Nothobranchius furzeri: one gene and its partner. The protein of the gene in region 1 interacts with the protein of each later gene in a pairwise test. Links are inferred from orthologs where the notes say so. Each region holds a gene or a part of one and is shown on either strand. Other genes may lie near its edges.

Region 1 (10,418 bases):
GTGAGTTTTGTGTAACTTTACTAAAGTATTTTCCTGGATATATATCAATAAGTATCACCCCTCCTTTTGTTTCTGTGGCTCCAGTTTGGCCTTGACGTCCATGAACAAGTACCCTGAGGCGATTTCGTACTTTAAGAAAGCTTTGGTGTTGGACCCGGAGAATGAAACATACAAATCGAACCTGAAGATTGCAGAACAGAAACATAAAGAAGCGTCTAGTCCAGTGAGTTAACCCTCCTGTAGGGTTCCTGCAAAATCTGACCAAATGTTGTCCCTGGAGCTGTGCAGGATATCAAATTAGTGTTACTGTTTTTTAAGACAATTTTCTCACATTCCACTTTGCAAGCATGCTTTTATTTTGTCATGCATTCCAAATGGCAAGCACTTCCTCCGATGCTTAAACTCGTGTGTCTTGTGGTGTTTAAAGAAGTCCATAAACTGGCAGAAAGAAGGCAAAACACACTGACAGCTCATCAAAAACATGCCTTTTTTAGAACATCATATGGAAATGTTTCCATGAAGTTCTATTTTTTTGCACCAACATACCTGAAATACAGAGTTTTAACATACTGTATACCAGTGAACCTTAACAGACGGCCTGCAGGCCAGACCCAGACCGCTAGACCTTTCTATCCAGCCCCCAAGTAGGGGACTTTGGAGATTAGCAGCAAAATTCATGTCCCACATATCTGTAATTATTTATGTTCTCCAAACACAACTACAATTACAATCAAAACAATTTAGATAGAAAACAAAGCTGTTTTAAATATTAATAAATAAAGACACAATAATAGTTTTACTTTGTTTTAGAAGAGCTTCTGGCCCTCGCTGTGTCAGCTGGAAAAAACTCTGGCCCTTGAACACATTTAGTTTAGGACCCCAGCTGTATACCCTCATCATCTTCCCTAAACAATACAGCTCTGCCACCTGTTGACATAAGTTTGTAACTGCAGCCATCTTAAAACGTTAACTCTGGGTATTTTAGGCTTAAAGCTGCAATGGCAAATCTGCTAAACAAGCTAGCTTTAAACATTCCAGTTGCCTATCATCCCTAGGCCAAATCCCACTGATACCTGAACCCACATTGCCACAGTAAATGAGAGTACTAAACACCAGTCACAGTTTTCTATAGGAATGCAACGATACCCATACTTGGATCTGAGTACTCGCCGATACGATTACCAATATCGATACTTCAACCACACAAAAAAAATGCAATGAATTGGAATACAGGTTTTATTTTCTTCTCTGCTTTCAACAGGAAAAGACTGTGAGGCAGATAAAAAGTAAAATATATGAAAATGTAATGATAATAGAGGGTAAATTGCTTTAAGTAAATTGCTTACTACTACTTGTGACCAATAGCCATGATACTCTATATAAATAGAATATCCCCTGCTTGGTCTTAGGATGATTAATTAGAAGATCCTAGGATTCTTTTAATTATTAAGGGATCATACACACTTCACTTTGATTCAAGAAATAGTCAGGTTTATAAACAAAGTAAGAATTTATTTTACAAACACTTAAGACTTGACAAATGGTTTCAACTATTATTTACTGTGAGTGGATGCGAACTAAGATGGTGTCTGGAACCTATGTGTGAATATTGTATTCAGAATCTGCGTTCTCAGAGCTGAGTTCTGGATGGAAAGAATTTGGTTTGCAAATAAACTATAAAGATGTTATTATCAGAACCACATTCAGACGCTATCTGTGTGTCTACCCGGATTAAGAGACCCTCTTGGTGGATCCGAAAGTGAGAGGTCGGATGACCGCTGGCACCGGAGGGCTGTAGAGGACCGAGGTGCCGGTTCTTTCAGTCCGGAGATGTCTTTCGGGTCACGACAGATGGATGAAACCGAGCATCTTAAAAATTACTCTGAAGGAGTTTGGAGTCAGCTTTGTTCTGCAGGAAAACTATCTTGTTGTTTCACCTTTGCAGGTGCGAAAAAGGTTTAAGGTTTTGACGACGTGTCAAAATCCTTCTGGTTAGAGAGGTGCTAAAGATGGTCGGTCTGAAGCTTGCTCAAGAACTGACTAATTACCCAAAGCCATCTGGTTTTAAACAATTGATATTATGGTTTGGCCAGCCAATCAGAGGCTGACAAGTTTGAGAGATGTTACCAAGAATCTCAGAACACACCCTCTTCGATGGAGACTCCGAATGTGGGCAAAAGGTTAACTTATGTGTCATGCATTAACTTAACTTTACTTGTGAGTGCAAATGTTATGACCTCGTCAAGTAAACATACTAAAACAATCATTGAGTACAGATTAATGAAAAATTTCATTATTTATAATTAACAATAACAAAAGTTCATTCAATGATTATTTTTAATTATAAAATCTTCTTTTCTTCTTCTTGGAATAACGGAGTTTATTTTAAAAGAGTTCCTCTGTGATGGACCTTGGAGGAGAAAATGTTTATTGTTTATCATTTATTATCCCTGCAGTCCAGCTGGTGTGAGGAAGTAGGCTCTGATTAAAGGGGCTACGTGCAGACTCTCCGACTCCTGTCAGGGGAAAATACAGTAAGATGTGTCATAGCCAGGGTAAGTTGACCTGGCTGTGCATTTGACCTGTGGGATCTCAAAATCAGGCCATTTTGTGACGTTACAAATAGAAATGATCACAAAACTAAAATATTAGGTGAACAGAAATGACAAGTTAACAGTGAAGCCCCTTTCAAGCAACTGCATTGGTATCGGTTAACTTTAACTGATACCGATTCCAGTATCGTATCGTGCATCCCTAGTTTTCTACGTCCAATTGTCTTTTGTTTTCTGCGGCTTCTGTCCAACTTCTCAATCAAAAAATGTCTGTTGTTTGCATCTCTTTGTGTCATGGGTAAAGGGGACTCTCTTCATTTGACACTTCAAATGGATTTTTTCTTTGTGGGACTCTGGTAGTTTGTTCTAAAGTTGTAGCAGCTGGTTGTTTCTCTTTGTCCGGCAATTCTGAGCAGAGAACCGCTCACACCAGTGGTGTTCTGTTGCAAGATGTGCAGGCACGTAATGAGTGGAGGACCCAGGTATATGCAGATGTGTGGTGGCTTGATGAAACAGACACCCGGATGGTCCAATAGTTGGTTTCAACCTGAGCCGTGTTATTGGCTGAGGTTGTTACAAGAGAACTACGTCATTATTTTTCTATATTTTTGTCTCCACAAAACATTTAAAGCTAAACTATGTTAGAATGTTATTGAGAGGCATGAAAAAATGTTTTAAGCTAGCTAGCTTGATTGGCAGATTTGCCGTTGTAGCTTTAACCAGATTTGGTATAAAAACTTTGGTCATTAAAGTTTTTAAGTTATTTATTTCAAATGTACAGCTAGCTCTTTAGGATAGAAAATTTAAGTAAACATAGATTAGCAGCACTGTTTTTAACTCATTGTTTTTGTAGCGTTTAGTGGATATGTATTCTTTAATTCACACGTATGGTTGCTTTTTTGAATCTGTGCTCACAGATAGCCGCTGGATTAGGATTTGACATGGCCAGTTTGATCAACAACCCTGCTTTCATCAGCATGGTAAGAGCTCTAACATCTCAGCCAACATTCCTGTTAGCCATCAGAGACAAAACCTTTTGCTCCGAGCAGAAATAATCCTGCCTTGTTAGAAGAAGACACATGTGAGTGTCAACTATGGAGCTAGGATTGGGATAATATTCAATGTAACTTGTACCAAGTTTTGTAACTTGGAACATGTTTCATGACATGTAACTTTGGATTCGTAACTTGTAACTTTAGTTTTCTAACTTGTAATTCTCAATTTGTACATGTGTAATGGAAATGAAGGGTATTACAATTTAATTAAGAACCAGAGATATTAATGATCCATACCTGGCAGGGACCCCATCTCTGGACCTGGGCTTTTAAAATCAGAAGTGATTCTTTTTTTATAGAGAAATTTAAAATTAAACACTGCATGAACTGAGAGACAAGAGAAGAGAGAGAGACCTTGGAATGTTTAAGAAAAATTATTATCTAAATTATTTTAAACAGTTAACAGGACTAACTCTCTAGTGATGGATGTGAATGGAATGCAATGAGGTGGAGTGTGTGTGTTGGTGCGATGTCAGTTCAGAACCTCCGTCTGGAGAAGAGAGTCTGAGTGGGAGATGTAGTTTTGCTCCTAACTGATCGACGTTTGAACTTTAGTCAGGACAGACATTAGACGCCATCTGGTGCCGTTCTACAATACCCGTCAGGGACTTCCATGTTAGATCTGGCTGCCAGGTCCTCGGACCCTCCTCTGGTGCTGGAACCGATTAAACAGCGTCGACAGCACGACAAGCCAGTCTATGGATAGTCTCCGGGTAAAAACGGCAGGTGTTTCACAGCGTCAAAGGGACCCCCCTTTGGGTCAGCGAGTTCAGCTTTTATTCTGAAGGAACCGTTGTTTTGTTGGTAACAGCGACAGGATTTTCCAGCTTGACAGTTCTCAGCTTAAAAGTAAAATGTACAGATGGCCAGTCCGTACTTCACTTAGCAATGATGGACATCAGATGATCTCGAGAGTTGGTTGAATACTGAACACAAAATGGCGTTGTTCTGTTTTATTAATCTTGGTTGTTTACGATTCTTGACGAATCGCAGTGGACAGATTAAATAAACACCACAGAAACTCTGCCACGCTTCAGAATGAAGGTTCTGATTGGATGAGTAAACAATGTGTCATGTCTTGACATTACATGGATCAGGATGTCTAGTGCAGTTAGACCAAAGTCATATTACTCATTAAGCATATTAATCATAACATTGTGATTTCACAGATCGGTCACATGGTTATTAATGACTAACAGTTGTTTTGATTAGGTTCATTAAAATAGAGTTCTTTGATTAATTAAAAGAAAAGTGTTCTTCTTCCTTCTGTCTTCTTGCTGGAATGTAAACATTAGAAGTAAATGCGTGACCTTGGCTGTTCATGCACACTGGCACTGTGTCACAAGGACAGCTGTTAGAGGGGAGAAATGGCTCATTCATCACGTTACAACATGTATTTCTTGTTTTGTAAAATCAAACTTTTATTTTGTACATTTACTACTCATTTTGTGACATCAAACATTCATTCAGAAACATGAAACTTCCGGTTTTTACCTAGCAGACTTCCAAAATAAAAAAAAACAATGTACATGTTTGAAATCAAAACTCTCAAAACACACATTTCATGCTACAGGTACAAACCTCAAATCTACAGTGTTACAAATAATTTTGTCTCAATTCTAGCATCGGTGGGAGGAACTTGGGTGGAACCAATGAGAGCACGAGTCTTAGCTACCAATCACGTTTCTTGAATTCCTGCCCAATCATTGGGAGAGGAGGGCAAAATACGTTTTACAAAATAAAAAATACATGTACAAAATGAAAATTTCCTGTTACAAAACAAGAAATACAAGTACAAATTGAGAATTACAAGTTGGAAAACTAAAGTTACAAGTTACGAATCCAAAGTTACATGTCATGAAACATATTCCAAGTTACAAAACTTGGTACAAGTTACATTGAATATTGTCCCAGTCCTAGCTCCATAGTCAACCAGGTCAAGAATGCTTCTGCGGACAGGCCAGAGGTTCATTCCATCAGGAAAACTCTTTTAAATCTGACATTACCTGCATTCACAGCAAAGACCTATGGGTCTTCCTCATAAAGCTGCCAGCGTGATCAGTAGTAAATCGGTTTTTAACAACACCTGTGGGAGACGCGATGGATTTCATCTGGTTTTTGTTTACAGGCTGCGAGTGTGATGCAGAACCAACAGGTCCAACAGCTGTGAGTGGAGTCTGTGTTTAAGCTTTAGTTTCCGGATGAGCTGGGGTGCATCGACTCACTGTGTCACTGTGTGCTCAGGATGTCAGGAATGATGTCTAATGCCGTTGGAGGCCCCGCAGCGGGAGTGGGAGGAATGTCAGACATTTCCAGCCTGATTGAGGCGTAAGTGCACGGAAACTAAACTCAAATCCATATTCGCTTTACACCTTTACTTGGTCTAGGGGTTTATTTCTGTTGAGAGGCTTTGGAGGAAGGTTTGTCCAGATTTTGTTTCTGGTATTCATCTACTCCTCTAAATCCTGGCAGCAAGGCATCTAAACAATAACTTCCAACTGTCCAATAAACCAAGTAATTATGACCGTTTCTGTTTTTAATTATCTTTTTTTTAATCTTTGTGATAATTCTATCCATGATAAATGATATAGAAATTTACTTTTCTTATATGGTTTTAACACAGATTTATCATTAAGCTGCCTTTTTTCACCTGCATCAAAATATAGACTTCTAATGCAAAGGACTGGAACAGTATGTTTGATTACAGATCCCCAAATGTGCTGACGCTTTCTGGTATCGGACAGATGAAGTCAGAAAAAAGAAAAGAGCAGTCTCATTATAGGGGCTTCTCACTATTATGATACACAAAAACACGCAATTATGAGGAGGTTTCTCATGAAAACAAGTCGTAATGATGAGATCGCTCATAACAACAAAAAGCTGACATCTCACAGGATGTTTGGATTTTGTCCAGCAGAAAATGATGGAACAGTGGAATTTGTAATTTTTCAGAGAAACGTATTCGTCCACCCGTTGGTCAAGCCGTAACGAAGTGTGTGTGTGAAGGAGCGGGCAGTGAGAGAGTTAGCAAGTGTAATTTGTTGAGTCATGCTCCCGTTATTTGGTTAACCTTTGATCAGTGTTACTTTACTTAAGACCTTTCTCATTATTACTAAATAATAAAATACGCTATTAAACAATGTTTCTCATTAAAATCACTTTTATATCACGTTACCCATCCTTTGTAGAAGGAGGCCAATGATATTTTAACTAAAGAAACTCATTATCAGAATTTTTTTTTGGGTTTAAAGGGGACGTATTATGAAAACCTCACCATTTGCCATCTTTTGTTCTGCCATGTGGGTCTCTACTGCCTCAAAAACACTCCAAACTTGAAAAAAATCCATCCATCCATTTTCTGACAGTGTTTGGTTTCAGAAATCATGTGCCTAAAACAAGCCATTTCAAAAACTCCCTGTTTGTGATGTCACAACCAGGGAAATTAGCATAGAACCATTTCTTATGTGCAAGACAGAGCTACTGCTGGAGGAGCTGCAGCTCTACTCCGAACCCCTCCTTGATATTAGAGCTTTTCAGCTTATAACAGCCAGTTAGGGGACAGCTGGGCGTGGCCAGCGCCAGCTCATTTTCTTTAAGTGACAGCACTCTGAAACGCCTCATTCTGGAAGGTACTGAAACTGTTAATTATAAAATAGCTGAAATTGCTTTATGCGAGAGATTTTGTGCAAAAAAACCTTTATGAACATGTTTTGTATCGACCATAAAACTATTAGAAAAAAGGTCATAATTTGTCATCTTTAACTGCCTGTAGTAGCAGAAAACTGATGGATCTCTTCTGTCTCTGCTCTTTATTAAGAGGACAACAGTTTGCCCAACAGATCCAGCAGCAGAACCCGGAGCTGATCGAGCAGCTGAGGAACCACATCCGGAGCCGTTCTTTCAGCGGCAGCGCCGAGGAGCATTCATGATCCTTTCCTGTAATTAAAAAAAATCTAAAACCCAAAACTTTAACCCACTGCTTAAATCTAGGACACATTTTTAGGATTAACATTTAATATTTTTATTGCAGATGCGATTTCTTTTCCCCCAAAGGAAGAGCAACCATACGGCGCGATAACAATCTCTACACCCATTTCTTTGAGTCAAATCCCCGGCACAGCTGGAATGAAGAGACGAGGGTGGGGCTGAAGGCACTTTACTGAGACTGAGGGGCTCCTGCAGAGGAGGAAGAGCCTGGAGACTGGACCTTAAACAAGAACATCCCATTCAAGTAGGGCAAACATACCATAAACACCCGATCACAAAAAGCCAACACCTCATTCTGCTCGTCGACAGAAGAGTGAATATTTTCCTCGAAGTTTTGATGAGCCGATGGTGTTTCGATGTGCTGAAACTGCTGCCTTCACCGCGTTAGGAGCTGAGAATCCACCAGTCTAGTCAAGAGGCATCAAGGGGTGTGGGAGGAACGTTCATTAGCTACAGAGCAGGGACCATTTCAGCTTCGTCTCTCACACAGATATACTAAAGCATACTGTTTATAATATTTAGTATTATTTTTGTAGACAGAGTTGACTGTTTATGAGTAAAAGAGATTCACATCATTGCTTTTCAGTACTTTGAATTAAGACAAAAGTGTGATTGTACAGCGGAGTTTTATGTTGTTACGGCTCTGTCAAAGCAAAAGAAGCCCTTCCCTTTAAGTCACATCAATTGGTTGATTAACAACATGTTCGTACTGATTGTTTTGCATGCAAATAAAGCTGGTGTTTGAGATCTGATGCTTTATGGCAACACATTGGTATGCTGCAGACAGCACATTGTTTTGTCAAAAACAAATAAATGTAGTAAAATTAAACGTCCTGTTTTTGTTTTCCTTAAATAAAAAATGCATCCGAATTTTTTTTATTTAAGGGCACATTATGCAACTTTTTCATTTATAATCACTTTCTTGAGCGAGTATGTGCTAAAATGACCCGTTACAGGGTTACTCAGACCCCAATGCCTCGTGTGACCAGAATACCGGACTTGCAACTTCAGAGTTGCCGGTCCGGACCCTGCTGGTGGAGGGAGCTGAGTGGGGTGGAGCTGGCGTCTGCTTCCAGCCCATTTTCTGCTTGTTTTAGAGCAGAGTGAGTGCTCCTCTAGAAACGAAGGCTAATGAGGAGACATTTCAGCTGTAAGATTAAGGTGTTGAAAAGATGTTCTTAACCACAACAGCACTAATATAAGACATTGATAATATATTTTTAAAAGCCCTGCTGCATTTAAATGGTAAATGGCCTGTATTTGATATAGCGCCTTCTAGAGTCCTGGAACCCTCCAAGGCGCTTTACAACACAATCAGTCATTCACCCATTCACACACACATTCACACACTGGTGGGGATGAGCTACGATGTAGCCACAGCTGCCCTGGGGCACACTGACAGAGGCGAGGCTGCTGAGCACTGGCGCCACCGGTCCCTCCGACCACCACCAGCAGGCAAGGTGGGTTAAGTGTCTTGCCCAAGGACACAACGACAGCGACAGACTGAGCGGGGCTCGAACCTGCAACCTTCCGATTACGGGGCAAGCACTTAACTCCTGTGCCACCATCGCCCCTACACGAGCATCTAAAGATGAAAAGAGCCCATTTTAATGTGATTACACACACATTATAGTTATTAAAATACAGCCAGTAGTTATGTTAAAAATGGTATAAATTACATTCATTGTTTTAGCAAGAATTTAAGTAAATCATTCATTTTGATAATCAAACCATTAATATGGTAAAACTGTAAATGGCCTGTGTATATGTAGCACCTTCTTAGGGTTCTACAACCCCCCAAGGCACTTCACAACACAATCAGTCATCCACACATTTGTACGCTGGTGATGAGCTACGACGTAGCCACAGCTGCCCTGGGGCGCACTGACAGAGGCGAGGCCTGGCGAACACATGCGCCACCGGTCCCTCCGACCACCATCAGCAGGCAAGGTGGGTTAAGTGTTTTGCCCAAGGACACAACAGCAGAATCCTCTGTCCGAAGCTGGGATCCAACCTACAACTCGCCAATTACTGGACAACCTGCTCAACCTGGTGAGCTACTGCTGCCCCCACCCTATAATAAATGCTCTTAATAAATGTATCATTTGGGCAGCATGATGCAAAACTATTCAAAAAATGCATTCATTAGTTTTATGACTCATATTCCCTCAGGAACCGATGATTTTTACCAACATGCCAAAAAACTATTTAAATGTAATCTGTTTGCATATTATCACCACGGGGCAGCAGTTGCTCAGGTGGTAGAGCGGGTTGCCTCATGATCGGAGGGTCATGGGCTCGATTCCGGCTCCCGCCAGGGGTATCCTACTGTTGTGTCCTTGGGCAAGACACTTCACCCAACTTGCCTGTGTTAGTGGTGGTCAGAGGGGCCGATGGCGCCAAATGGCAGCCTCGCCTCTGTCAGACCTCCCCAGGGCGGCTGTGGCTACAAGCAGCTTACCATCACTAGCAGTGTGTGAATGTGAGTGTGTGAAAGCGTCTTTGGGTGTCTAGAAAAGCGCTATATAAGTTCTATGCATTATTATTATTAATTCTGACACATACATTTTTCTTTTGAAGCATCATTGTAGTGGGAAAATGTGTGTTTTGGGTTTTATTTACAGGGTGTATCCTTAAAAAGACTTTAATTATATTTTCTATAATTATTAAATTTTTTTTATTGACTATAATTAAAATAATCCTTAAATCTAGAGTCCAGGTTTAAAAATAACACACCGTTATTTCATTTGCATTTTGTGAATCTTTTGTATTTTTACATATGAATCTGGCATAAGAGGAACCAGCAACATTTATTTAGGGTGGG
Region 2 (10,518 bases), on another chromosome or scaffold:
ATAGATATTTAGATATGTATTCCACCATTTTCCTGTAATTTATTTAATCATGTAAAATAATTAGCTGTAAGATTTGTTATTAAGACATATTTAGAGTTGTGTTTACGATTGGATCAAGTGTATCATCTCAAATGCTGAAGCATTAATGTGAACCCACACGCTAATCCACGGACGTGACCGGTTTGTAGCAGTTTAACGAACCAGGAGGGATCGCTGCTGTTGCCGAAGACAATAAAATCTGATCGATTGTAATGATCGTTTCTGTGTCTTCAATGAACTCTGCTCATAAATGTGACTCAAAATCACTCGTTACAACATTTTAATTTACACACTTGGCTGTATAAAATACATCAATTCACTAAACCAACATCCACTCTTCTTTAATTGAAGATTAAAAAGGCATGTAAGAGTTTTACATCACATGCAGAACAGAAACGACACACGTAAATATGGCAGGACTTGTTATTTAAAAGACTTGGTTGTGTAAATTATAGGTCATATTGTGAATATTACCACACAATACTGTAGAGGATTTTTGGAAGCACATTGCTTTAGTTGTTAATATTTAATGGCTAATAAAGAACCACAGATGGAGAGAAGGAAAATCCTGCTAACTTTAAAAATGGAAGTTATTAACCGTTCTTACAGTTTTAAGGCCTTCATCAGGAGGCTTTAGGCCCGTTTCTTTTTGTGGACATTGAAATCTGGCTTTCACATTAATCCAAGAAAACAATGCAACTCTTCTAAAGAAACCCTTTTTTATGAGATGACCCTTTAAGGAAAGAAAACTAGATTAATGTCTAAATATTACAGTAAATCACTGATCTGAATAAAGACAGAAAAATTTTATGGTTTTGGTACTCAACTCATGAAAGCTAAGATAACTGATTTTATGGCTGTCTAAAAAATTGTGATCTCCATATTGTTCAGCTTTAAACTCATAAAGACCTTGCTAATAAGTCACTTATAAGGTTGCAATGACAGTGCAACCAATTTTATGATTGAGTCAAGACTAAATAATCTGGTATTTAAAAAGATAAAACATACCATTATTTTTAAATATTTGATTGATGAAAATTCACAGACTCCCTCAAGTCACGGAAACTCCGACGGTCGGAGTCTCTGTGGGTTCGGAGTCCGAACCAAACGTTGTACTCAAATGGGAGTAAAGCATTTATAGTAACTAGAGCTGATTAAAATCCTCTACAGATATCAGGTATAATATGGCATTTTAGTCAGTAACGTACAGTTATAATAAACAATGACAGCTAACAGAGCAGGGAAAACCGTGCAGGACACGAGAAAAAAAGAAATCAAGCACCGGTGGTTCAAAAGTGAGTTTGGTTCAGTCAGAGGAGACCGAACTGGGTTTCTAAACATCAAGAGGGCCTGTTGGAGGGAGAAGATGTGTAGCCCTTACAGCCTGGAGGCGCTCCCCGTTCCGCTGTCTCCTCACAGCTCGTCTCCGGTGTGACCCTGTTTAAAGGCGTCGCCCGTCAGCTTCTCCTGAGCTTCTTCCATCGCTGACCAAACTGAGCAAAACAAGGAAAATCCATTTAATCATAGAGTTGGCCTATCTAGCAAATATCTGCTAGAATAAAATACTGTCTAAAATTCTAAAACCAATTTTAGTGTTATTTCAATTCAATTCAGTTTATTTATAGAGAGCCAAATCACAAGAGTAGTCTGAAGGCACTTTACAAAGTCAACATTCCAACTGAACCTACTTATCGGTGGATTTAGTTCTGTTCAATATGCCAGTTAGTTAAGGTTCCTATTTAAGGAAACCCAGAATATTGTATCGAGTCACTGACTTGTGTCAGTGACTTTACAGCAATCCTCATACTACGGAAGCATGTAGTGACAGTGGAAAGGAAAACTTTCCTTTGAATTATGAAAATATCCCAAGGCCCTCCAAGGTAGCTGAGCTTCTCAGCTTACAGCAGCCAATCGGGATGGGTGGGAGTGACCAGATGCAGCTTCTTTTTTTTTTAACTGAGGAACGACTGATTCTGGAAAGTACTGAAAATGTCAAAACTGAGATGACTATGTGAAAGGGATTTTATAATTGATATCGACCACAGAGCTATCATGTCTTTTAAAAAAATTACAATAGGTCTCCTCTAAAGGATGCAGGAGCTGGGAACATTCAGGAACATTGCTAAGCTGAGTCTCATTCTGTCCCGCTCTGAACATGAGACAGTTATCCACACCTTCATCTCCTCACGCTTAGACTACTGTAACTCTCTTTTCACGTGTCTGAGCAGAACCTCCCTGAACCGTCTACAGGTGGTTCAGAATGCCTGTGCTCGGCTTCTGACCAAGTCCTCCAAACACACCCACATCATCCCGCTTCTCCTCCAGCTTCACTGGCTGCCAGTAAACTTCAGAGTTCATTTCAAGATCCTGGTTCTGGTCTATAGGGCCTTACATGGACAAGCACCATCTTACATTGGTGATCTTCTTAGTCCCTACACCCCCAGCAGGTCCCTGAGGTCCAGTGATCAAAGCCTACTGGTTGTGCAGCGCACCAGGCTAAAGACCAAAGGTGACAGATCATTTGCTGCTGTGGCCCCCAGACTCTGGAACTCCCTCCCCTGAGCCTGAGTGGACTCAGTGGACTCCTTTAAAAGCAGCTGAAGACTCACTTGTTCAAGCTGGCTTTTGTATGACCTTCTTCGCCACTTTCTCTTTGTTCTGCTCTCCACACCTATTCCACCTTCCTCAGGATCCACTGATTTCCCTCTTTCCTATTCACTCTCTCTCTTTCTTAACATTTTTTTAACCACAATTGTCTATTTTTTGCTCATTTTAAATATATTTTTAACCATTTTCTAAATTATTTTTTATATTTTTACATTTTTTGTTTTTGTGAAGCACCTCGTGATTTTTTTTCTTGAGAGGCGCTATAGAAATGATATTTTCTTCTTCTTCTTCAAAACACCTTACCCCATTATAGAAAGCATGATTTGTCAGAAATTAGCACTGACCTTTAGACATCTTTCAAGACTTCTAATTTTAGTATTTTATGACATTTATCAAACATTTTAGGGCAGTACTGGCACTTCTATGCGTCAAGTTAAAAACAGGTTAAATCAATCCTTTTTTTTGTATCTGTTGTTCTTATTGAATTTGTATATTTGACTTTTTATGGTGTATTAATACTGTTGCTACTTTTGCGTATTTGTTTTATGGGACGACGGATGGAAATAGGCATTTTTGCTAAATCTGGGGTAATTACGTTCATTAATAGGAACAGTCCCATTCAAATAATCAACAGTTTTAAATAGAATCTTTAGGCTCCTTGCTACTGACAACACCATACAAAGACACCATTTGTTTTAATTTCTCGCGTTACAACATCAATAAGGTGATTTCCAAACAGATACCAACTGTAAACTTGCTGGATTTCTATTTTTTCTTACTTTAGAACACTAAATCATCTTTTGGTTTTCCTACAGTGTTTTCATGACACCATCCTTGCTGGGATCATCCTAAAAATTGCCAGTGTCCATATAAAAAGAATGAAATTGAAAGATTTTAGTTTCTCTTCCTTAAGAAAAAGTGGAAATAGTTTGAGACATTTGCACAGAACGTAACCCCCTACCCTGCTCTGCTGTGCTGTAGAAGTACTTGTAGTTGGGATTCCCATTTTTGTTGCTGATTTCTGGATGGACTTTGCCTCTCGGATCTGTAAGTGGAACAAACAGGTTTTTTAGTAGTATGGTGCACGTTTATTGATGCTCCTTGAGTGTATGCAGGCTTTTAAATGTGATCAGCAGGGCAAAAGGGACCAGCAGCAAATTCCCAGGGAGCTGTCCCACCGATGGGATTCCTGTCAGGACATGTTTAAAGGCCCCGGTGTGATCCCGCTCCAAGAGCTGCTCAGGCTCTGCTATAGTATGTCGCTTCTTGAAGAGCCACTGCTTTTTTATCGTAAAGATCTCAATCGGGTTTTATGCAAATGAGTTCATACCGAGGAAAAGAATCCGAGGAATGTATCCACCGTCTGGGCTGAAGGCTTCATCCTTGGGCTCCTCTTCATCCTGTCATAAACAGTTACAACTTTAACTACCTGATGCATGACTGCTGCTTTAAGGAAAATGAAAACAAAATTAAACCAATTGCTGTTTCTCACCTCCACATTCACCATTACAAAGTTGTGTGCCAGTTCAGAGATTTCCTTGGATTCAGCAAATTTGGGCTTCAGGGCTGATTTGTAACAAATAAGAAAAGAAAGTTATTTAAAAATGTGACTCTTCTTATCTCTACTTGATAGTTTTAGAGTAAAAACTTTGAACATTCTGAAAAGAAGCCTTTCACAGAGCGAAAGCCGGTATGGGCCATTGCCTTCCTTGTTTTTGAGGAAAATCTGAGCTAAATGACAACTTCCTGGAAGTACTTCTGTGTTTTGGGATTGGCAAAAAAAAAAACTAAAACCAGATGGAAGTAACTCCAAGATCAAACGCCTCACAAGTCGGACCAACTTCACTGTTGCTTGTATTATTTATGAGTGCCAGTGGACACCAGAGTTTTGTCTGGCATTCCCAGAAAAAGAAACAGTAAGTAAATACCTTTGCAGGCTCCACACCAGCTCTTGTGGATGATGAGCATGATCGGCAGCCCGCTGTCAATTCACCAACATGGACACATGCATCAAAGTCAGTCAGAACAGTAAATATACAACGTAGACTTTCTTTATATAAACCGGAAATGCAAGATTTTTAAAAGGAAGGGAGTTGGGACCCAAATGAAAATGTTTCTTGTTCCTCCAGATAATATTTACACAAGAGGCTTCAAACAGGAAGCTACCTGGCTTCAGCTTCCTTCTTCCCATCTTCCAGCGTCCTCCAGTGGATATTGTCCCCAAATCCTGCAGGGTTCATGAGCACAACAGCATTGTGTAACTGGAGTTAAATTTCCACACAAGGGTGGGTCTGGCCTAAATACAGAATCAATACAAAGAACTGGGACAAATAACTAATATAACTGGTATGTTATGTTAAGGCTAAACTTTTAAGTAAAATAAAATCAATTATTTTAAGAATTGAACGAGAAACTTAATGGTTACTTTCTGTTTTGGTGGAGATAATTATTAATTTAATCAAATTGAATCGGAATTAAACAATACAGGTTTAACAGACCTAAAGTATTGTTTTATTTTTGCTTTAAGTCAAATGAGGTGTTTGTAGAAGAAGAAGTATCATTTCTATAGCGCCTCTCAAGATAAAAATCACGAGGCGCTTCACAAAAACAAAAAATGTAAAAATATAAAAAATAATTTAGAAAATGTTTAAAAATATATTTAAAATGAGCAAAAAATAGACAATTGTGATTAAAAAATGTAAAGAAAGAAAGAAAGTGAACAGGAAAGAGGGGAATCAGTGGACGAGGAAGGTGAAATAGGTAGGGAGAGCAGAATAAAGAGAGTGGTGAAGAAGAAGTTATACAAAAGCCAGCTTGAACAGGTGAGTTTGAAAGCTGCTTTTTAAAGGAGACCACTGAGTCCACTGATCTCAGGCTCAGGGGGTAGTCTTGTAGAATTAACTTTTTCGTGTAAGATTTATTAAAATGCATAAAATACATTTTCAAGAAATAAAGCATGAGTGTCTGGAAGTGAAACAAGTTAGTGACACTAGACACAACACGCCTGTTTATTAGTCTTCAAGGACGCACACAATGTGATCCGGGATGCTGACAAAGAACAGCAGCTCTCATTTCTACCACACTTTCAATGAAGCTGCTCCAGCCTGCTTAAAAAACTTATTTTCTCCTATATATGAACTCACCTCTCCCACTGGCGGCTTCCGCAACCACATCAAAACACGAAAAAGACAATAAAACCTGGAAAAAGGAGAAAGCAGCGACATTTACTACAGACAGTTGCATGTTTATTGCCTTTCTTTCCCACAACTGCGGCTAGCAGGCAATGGTAGTAATGGAAAGCTCAATAGTCAGTGACCCGGATGTGCAACCGCAACATTTCACAATAAAGGTTTTGTCTCGGAATAAAAATCTTAACAGCGCGCATGCTAGCCATGGTAGCGCGCGCGTGTGTCTCGCTTGCTATTGGCCACCAGCTTTTTTTTTTCCCATTTAGAGACGCGTTCACGTGACATTACATCTACACAACCGCGTGCTCTTCAATGCAGTGTTATGTCAAGCTAGACAAACAATGTTGGTATAAAACCGGAAATGACGACGAAAATTGCAAAAAATAAGTTAACCAAAGGAAAGCAGAAAGTTGTAAGTAATTAAGTTTTTGTTATTAAATCTTTGCTATGTATATATTAAATTTATTTCGTTAGTAAAATAGCATTTTTCCCCAAATTTGTGTAAAGTAATTACAATTTCTGCACGTGGATGAGATTTATTTGGCAAAATAATCACCGGAAGTTGTATGTTAGACTACTAATTTGACTGGTGTCTAATCCGTCTTGCTCCGTTCCTAGCAAACACAGTTCAACGGGCTGTTAATTCACAATCAGAGGTAAATATACCGTTTAAATTAGCGCTAAATATTTTATTTGATGTTGTGAAAGCCGTATCTTTTGGTGTGGCTCAGGCTTTAAATAGATAGTCAAAGTTATTTCACGGCATTATTTTACCGTTAGCGTTAGCTCAGTCTACCTCGATATTTCTCAACTAGCTAGCTTCAGTTAAGCACCAACGTAAGTTTAAAATAACTCATTAATTAATTAAATTAATTTCTTTATTTTGCTTTGTTTAAATTAATTTCTTTGATTTGATGGGGTTCATGTGAGTAAAAATGCTAACTGGCTTGTCTAAATTCTGCTAACCTGCTGCTAAGGTGTGAAGAAAGGGCTCTTGCCCAACACACTGCTTAGCTAGCATTCTTGTGTCTGAACGGCTAGCTGGTTGGGCGGTGTAAACTTGTATATTTGGGTTTTTAACGAGGATTTAATTTTTATTTTATTTGTTTTATTAAACCAACAGAACATTATGAATCAAGAGAAGCTGGCCAAACTTCAAGCTCAGGTCCGGATAGGAGGAAAGGTACAATTTAAAGCTTGACTTTTTGTTGTAGTTCCAGATGTGATGACAAATGTTTAGTAGTACTTGATTAAAATTAGTCGGACATTTTATTTTAAGAAGTTTAAAGGTATTTGGAGTCGGCCAAATCTTTTCTACTGACTTCAGCATTCTCTTTGTTAGGTGAAGCTCTGGCCCCTGCATCTGTGACCTTTGTGGCTTTGTGGCATTAACCGTCAGGTCTTCAGCCACACACTAGATGGCATTATTTTTAATTTTGTTGGGAAAAGTTCTTCCGGCTCCAGCAGCCACATAACATTTTCTACAATAAAAAAAATACTATCAATTAAAAATATAGTCCTTCCCTGGCCTTCCTTTTGCGACTAATGTCCTTATTGTTATTAATTTCTACATTAAATACGTGAAACCGTGTAAAAATCAGGGTAGTGCAGAGAGCTTTGAAGGGGCGAGCGCTCAAAGTTAAAAAGGGGGCACTTATAGAACAAAACTTTTAAACAGATTCATGATCCAACAAGTTTCAAGATTCAGATATTCAGAAATGAACGAAATTGAACTACAGAACCTCTGCACGGACAAAACGTCAAAAACACTAAATCAAAATACTTCAATAAATGGGACACATCCTGGCTGCAAAGCATTGCACCTTAAAATACAAAATTTTGTTTTTACTTGTGTTTATGTAGACAGATAAACTTGTTATGATATGTAGATAAATATGTAGATACATAAACTTGTTTATATTCAGTACAAGTTACATAGATTTTTTTCTTTGCTTCCGTTTGTTGAAAAATGAGAAAAGCCCCTTGAGAAAATAATCGTGAATTAAATCGCAATTGCAATATTGAAGAAAAAAATCGCTATTAGATTATTTTCCAAAATCGTTCAGCCCTAGAAGGATACAAATTTCTATCTCAGCCAGCTGGGGGTGTTGTCAGTTGTGCTCGGTTTGCAGAGTCTGCGCCAGCTAATGCTGCAGCGCAGGTACTGAGATACATATCAGAGCAGCATATATGCAATTGATGCACATTCGTGCACACGCACATTCATCTAAACCTCCGCTATGTTCTGAAGAGCTATCAGTTCAGCATACAGATGGCAAAGTCACACTGTTGTTAAAAACAAACTGTATGATCCGACTGGTAAAATGAGCATATTAGTGTGTCATACGATTGATAAAACAAAATGTGTGGTGATCTGATGGCTAAAATGGCTTATTAGGATGTCATGCAGTTACTAAAACAAAGCTTATGTTGATCAGACTGATAGGACCATCCATCAGTGTCATGCAGTTGTTCTACACAAAGTATATGATGATCTGATGGGTAAACTGGCACATCAAAGTGCCATACAGCTCAAAAAAGGCATGATTTGACAGACGTGTTGTCAGGTGGGCATATGCTGGGGTTGAGCAATATATCAAAAATGTATCGTTATTGAACTGTCTGACACTAGTTGATATTGTTTTTTCCATGTAAATGAATTTGATAACAAAAAAAATGAAAAGATGTGTGTAGGTTGGCCACGTTCATGTCCCTTTAAGAAGCTGTACCACCTCGAGTCATGTGACGTGACTCGCATAATACACGTGACAGCCCCCATCTAGTGGACAACTTTCTGTGTATACATGTAGTTATCGTCCATTTATCGAGGTGAACGCCTCACTATACTGTGATATTGATTTTAGGCCACATCGTCTAACTCATTATGCTGGAATATACACATATATTTTGAAGAATGGGGAAAAGCTGTGCTTTAAGAGCAAGTCACCACCAAATCAACTTCTTTTTTGCTGATAAAATATATAAATGAGTGTCTAACCATGCTGTAGACATGTGTAGTCAATAATTTGGCACTTTAGTGCATTTTCATTCATTTAAATATTCTGCCTGAAACTGTCAGTGTTGCGCTGTCGTCAGGTAAAAACTCTGCACTACATTTGATTTTAAATCTGCTATTGCTACTGGCTAAGAGGTACACAATGACATTAGCTGGTACCATATGATGTCACAATGCTGTTGGGAGCATGTTTGTGTGCATTTGTTTGCAGCTCCGCCCTCTTGTCTGTCAGGCAACAGCATTTGTTGCATTTTTCACACATGAAGTGGGAGTAAGTTTGTTTCTTGTAGGGGGTGACTTGGTCTTTAAAAAAGCTTTTATGCCCAAATTATATATGAAAAATCTGTGTGGCAATCTTAAGGGAGACTGTGGTTTTAGCTAAATGCAGAATTTATCAGTTTTTGCCATTTTATGAGTTAAATGAACCATTCTTACAACATGTAATGTGATGTCAGAAATGTATGACTGAGAATCTTAATCACACCGGATATGGAAACCTGTTAGATTTAATGTCCTGGTTCAGTATGCATTTGATCTCCTCCTAGGGGACCGCACGCAGGAAGAAAAAGGTTGTTCACAAAACGGCGACAGCTGATGACAAAAAGCTGCAGGGCTCGCTGAAGAAACTGGCAGTGAACAACATTGCTGGGATAGAAGAGGTGAGACATCAAAGGAACATGGATGACACCATCGTGGTTTTTTAAATATATTTTTGTCTTTGAAAGTTGAATCTTTTATCAGTGATGTGCCATGAGGCATAAAACAGGATGGAAGCCTGAGTTAAGGGTTCTCCCCAAGATCTGGCTTATTTTTAGAAAGCTCTCAGCGGCTACACCTACCTCAAAATGTTTGAGAATACAAACAAAAAAAAAAACATACAGATGTGGGATTTTTGCATTGACTTCTCTCATCCATCCCGTTTTCCCCACCCTTAAAGGTGAATATGATAAAAGACGATGGGACGGTAATTCACTTCAACAACCCCAAAGTTCAGGCGTCTCTGTCTGCCAACACCTTTGCCATCACGGGCCACGCTGAGACCAAACAGCTGACGGAGATGCTGCCGGGCATCCTGAGCCAGCTGGGAGCTGACAGCCTCAGCAGTCTGCGCAAGCTGGCCGAGCAGTTCCCTCGACAATGTGAGCACACGCAAACCGCATGTGAACTGTGTCAAATTTCAGCTTTGAAGTCACTCAGGAGGATTTTCTGTCAAATGAACGACTGAAAGCAAAAGCTTTATCACCACCTGTAGGACTGGAAAGAAATGGTAAACCCATAAGTTGTAAACAGTTGCAGATGACCCAGAATTGGCCTCACAGCCAGTTTTCTACACACAGGAGCCATGTTGGATCATTAGTACTGTTGAATGTGAGTCAGGGACCCACCCTGTCCTGCCGGTCATTGACTTACTCAACCTAGACATGGAGGCTTTTCCTGTTTAACAGGAATCGCGTCTTCTCTGCTGTCCCCCGATGTGTCTCTGAAGACACGTGGACATCTGAGTCCTGACCCGAGGAACCGGTTCTTGTTAGTTTGTGATAAGTGTACTGTTACTCTTTCACGGTTAAATAAAAAAACACGTGAATTTAAATCAATTGGACACAAAATATATATATATACATTTGATGCGATATGCATTTGGATTACTTACATTACTTTGATCTTAAT

The links.
Region 2: the proteins of sgtb (region 1) and txndc12 interact in binary tests that used the Homo sapiens proteins (3 or more experiments, as listed by UniProt). The two-hybrid records come from large-scale screens. The link is inferred for Nothobranchius furzeri from reciprocal best matches to the Homo sapiens genes SGTB and TXNDC12.

Annotation. Positions count from the first base shown.
Region 1 is NC_091746.1:65,339,678-65,350,095, forward strand, and holds the end of sgtb (small glutamine-rich tetratricopeptide repeat-containing protein beta), read left to right. Parts: intron 1-84; coding exon 85-223; intron 224-3,469; coding exon 3,470-3,532; intron 3,533-5,735; coding exon 5,736-5,773; intron 5,774-5,851; coding exon 5,852-5,935; intron 5,936-7,424; coding exon 7,425-7,536; 3' UTR 7,537-7,545; intron 7,546-7,637; 3' UTR 7,638-8,346; downstream 8,347-10,418. UniProt on the Homo sapiens protein: Co-chaperone that binds directly to HSC70 and HSP70 and regulates their ATPase activity.
Region 2 is NC_091751.1:41,993,690-42,004,207, forward strand, and holds txndc12 (thioredoxin domain-containing protein 12), read right to left. Parts: upstream 5,984-10,518; 5' UTR 5,890-5,983; coding exon 5,790-5,889; intron 4,874-5,789; coding exon 4,813-4,873; intron 4,628-4,812; coding exon 4,575-4,627; intron 4,213-4,574; coding exon 4,139-4,212; intron 4,047-4,138; coding exon 3,977-4,046; intron 3,692-3,976; coding exon 3,608-3,691; intron 1,533-3,607; coding exon 1,453-1,532; 3' UTR 685-1,452; downstream 1-684. Other genes in the region: transcription factor BTF3 homolog 4, read left to right, coding at 6,964-7,017, 9,396-9,509, 9,788-9,989. UniProt on the Homo sapiens protein: Protein-disulfide reductase of the endoplasmic reticulum that promotes disulfide bond formation in client proteins through its thiol-disulfide oxidase activity.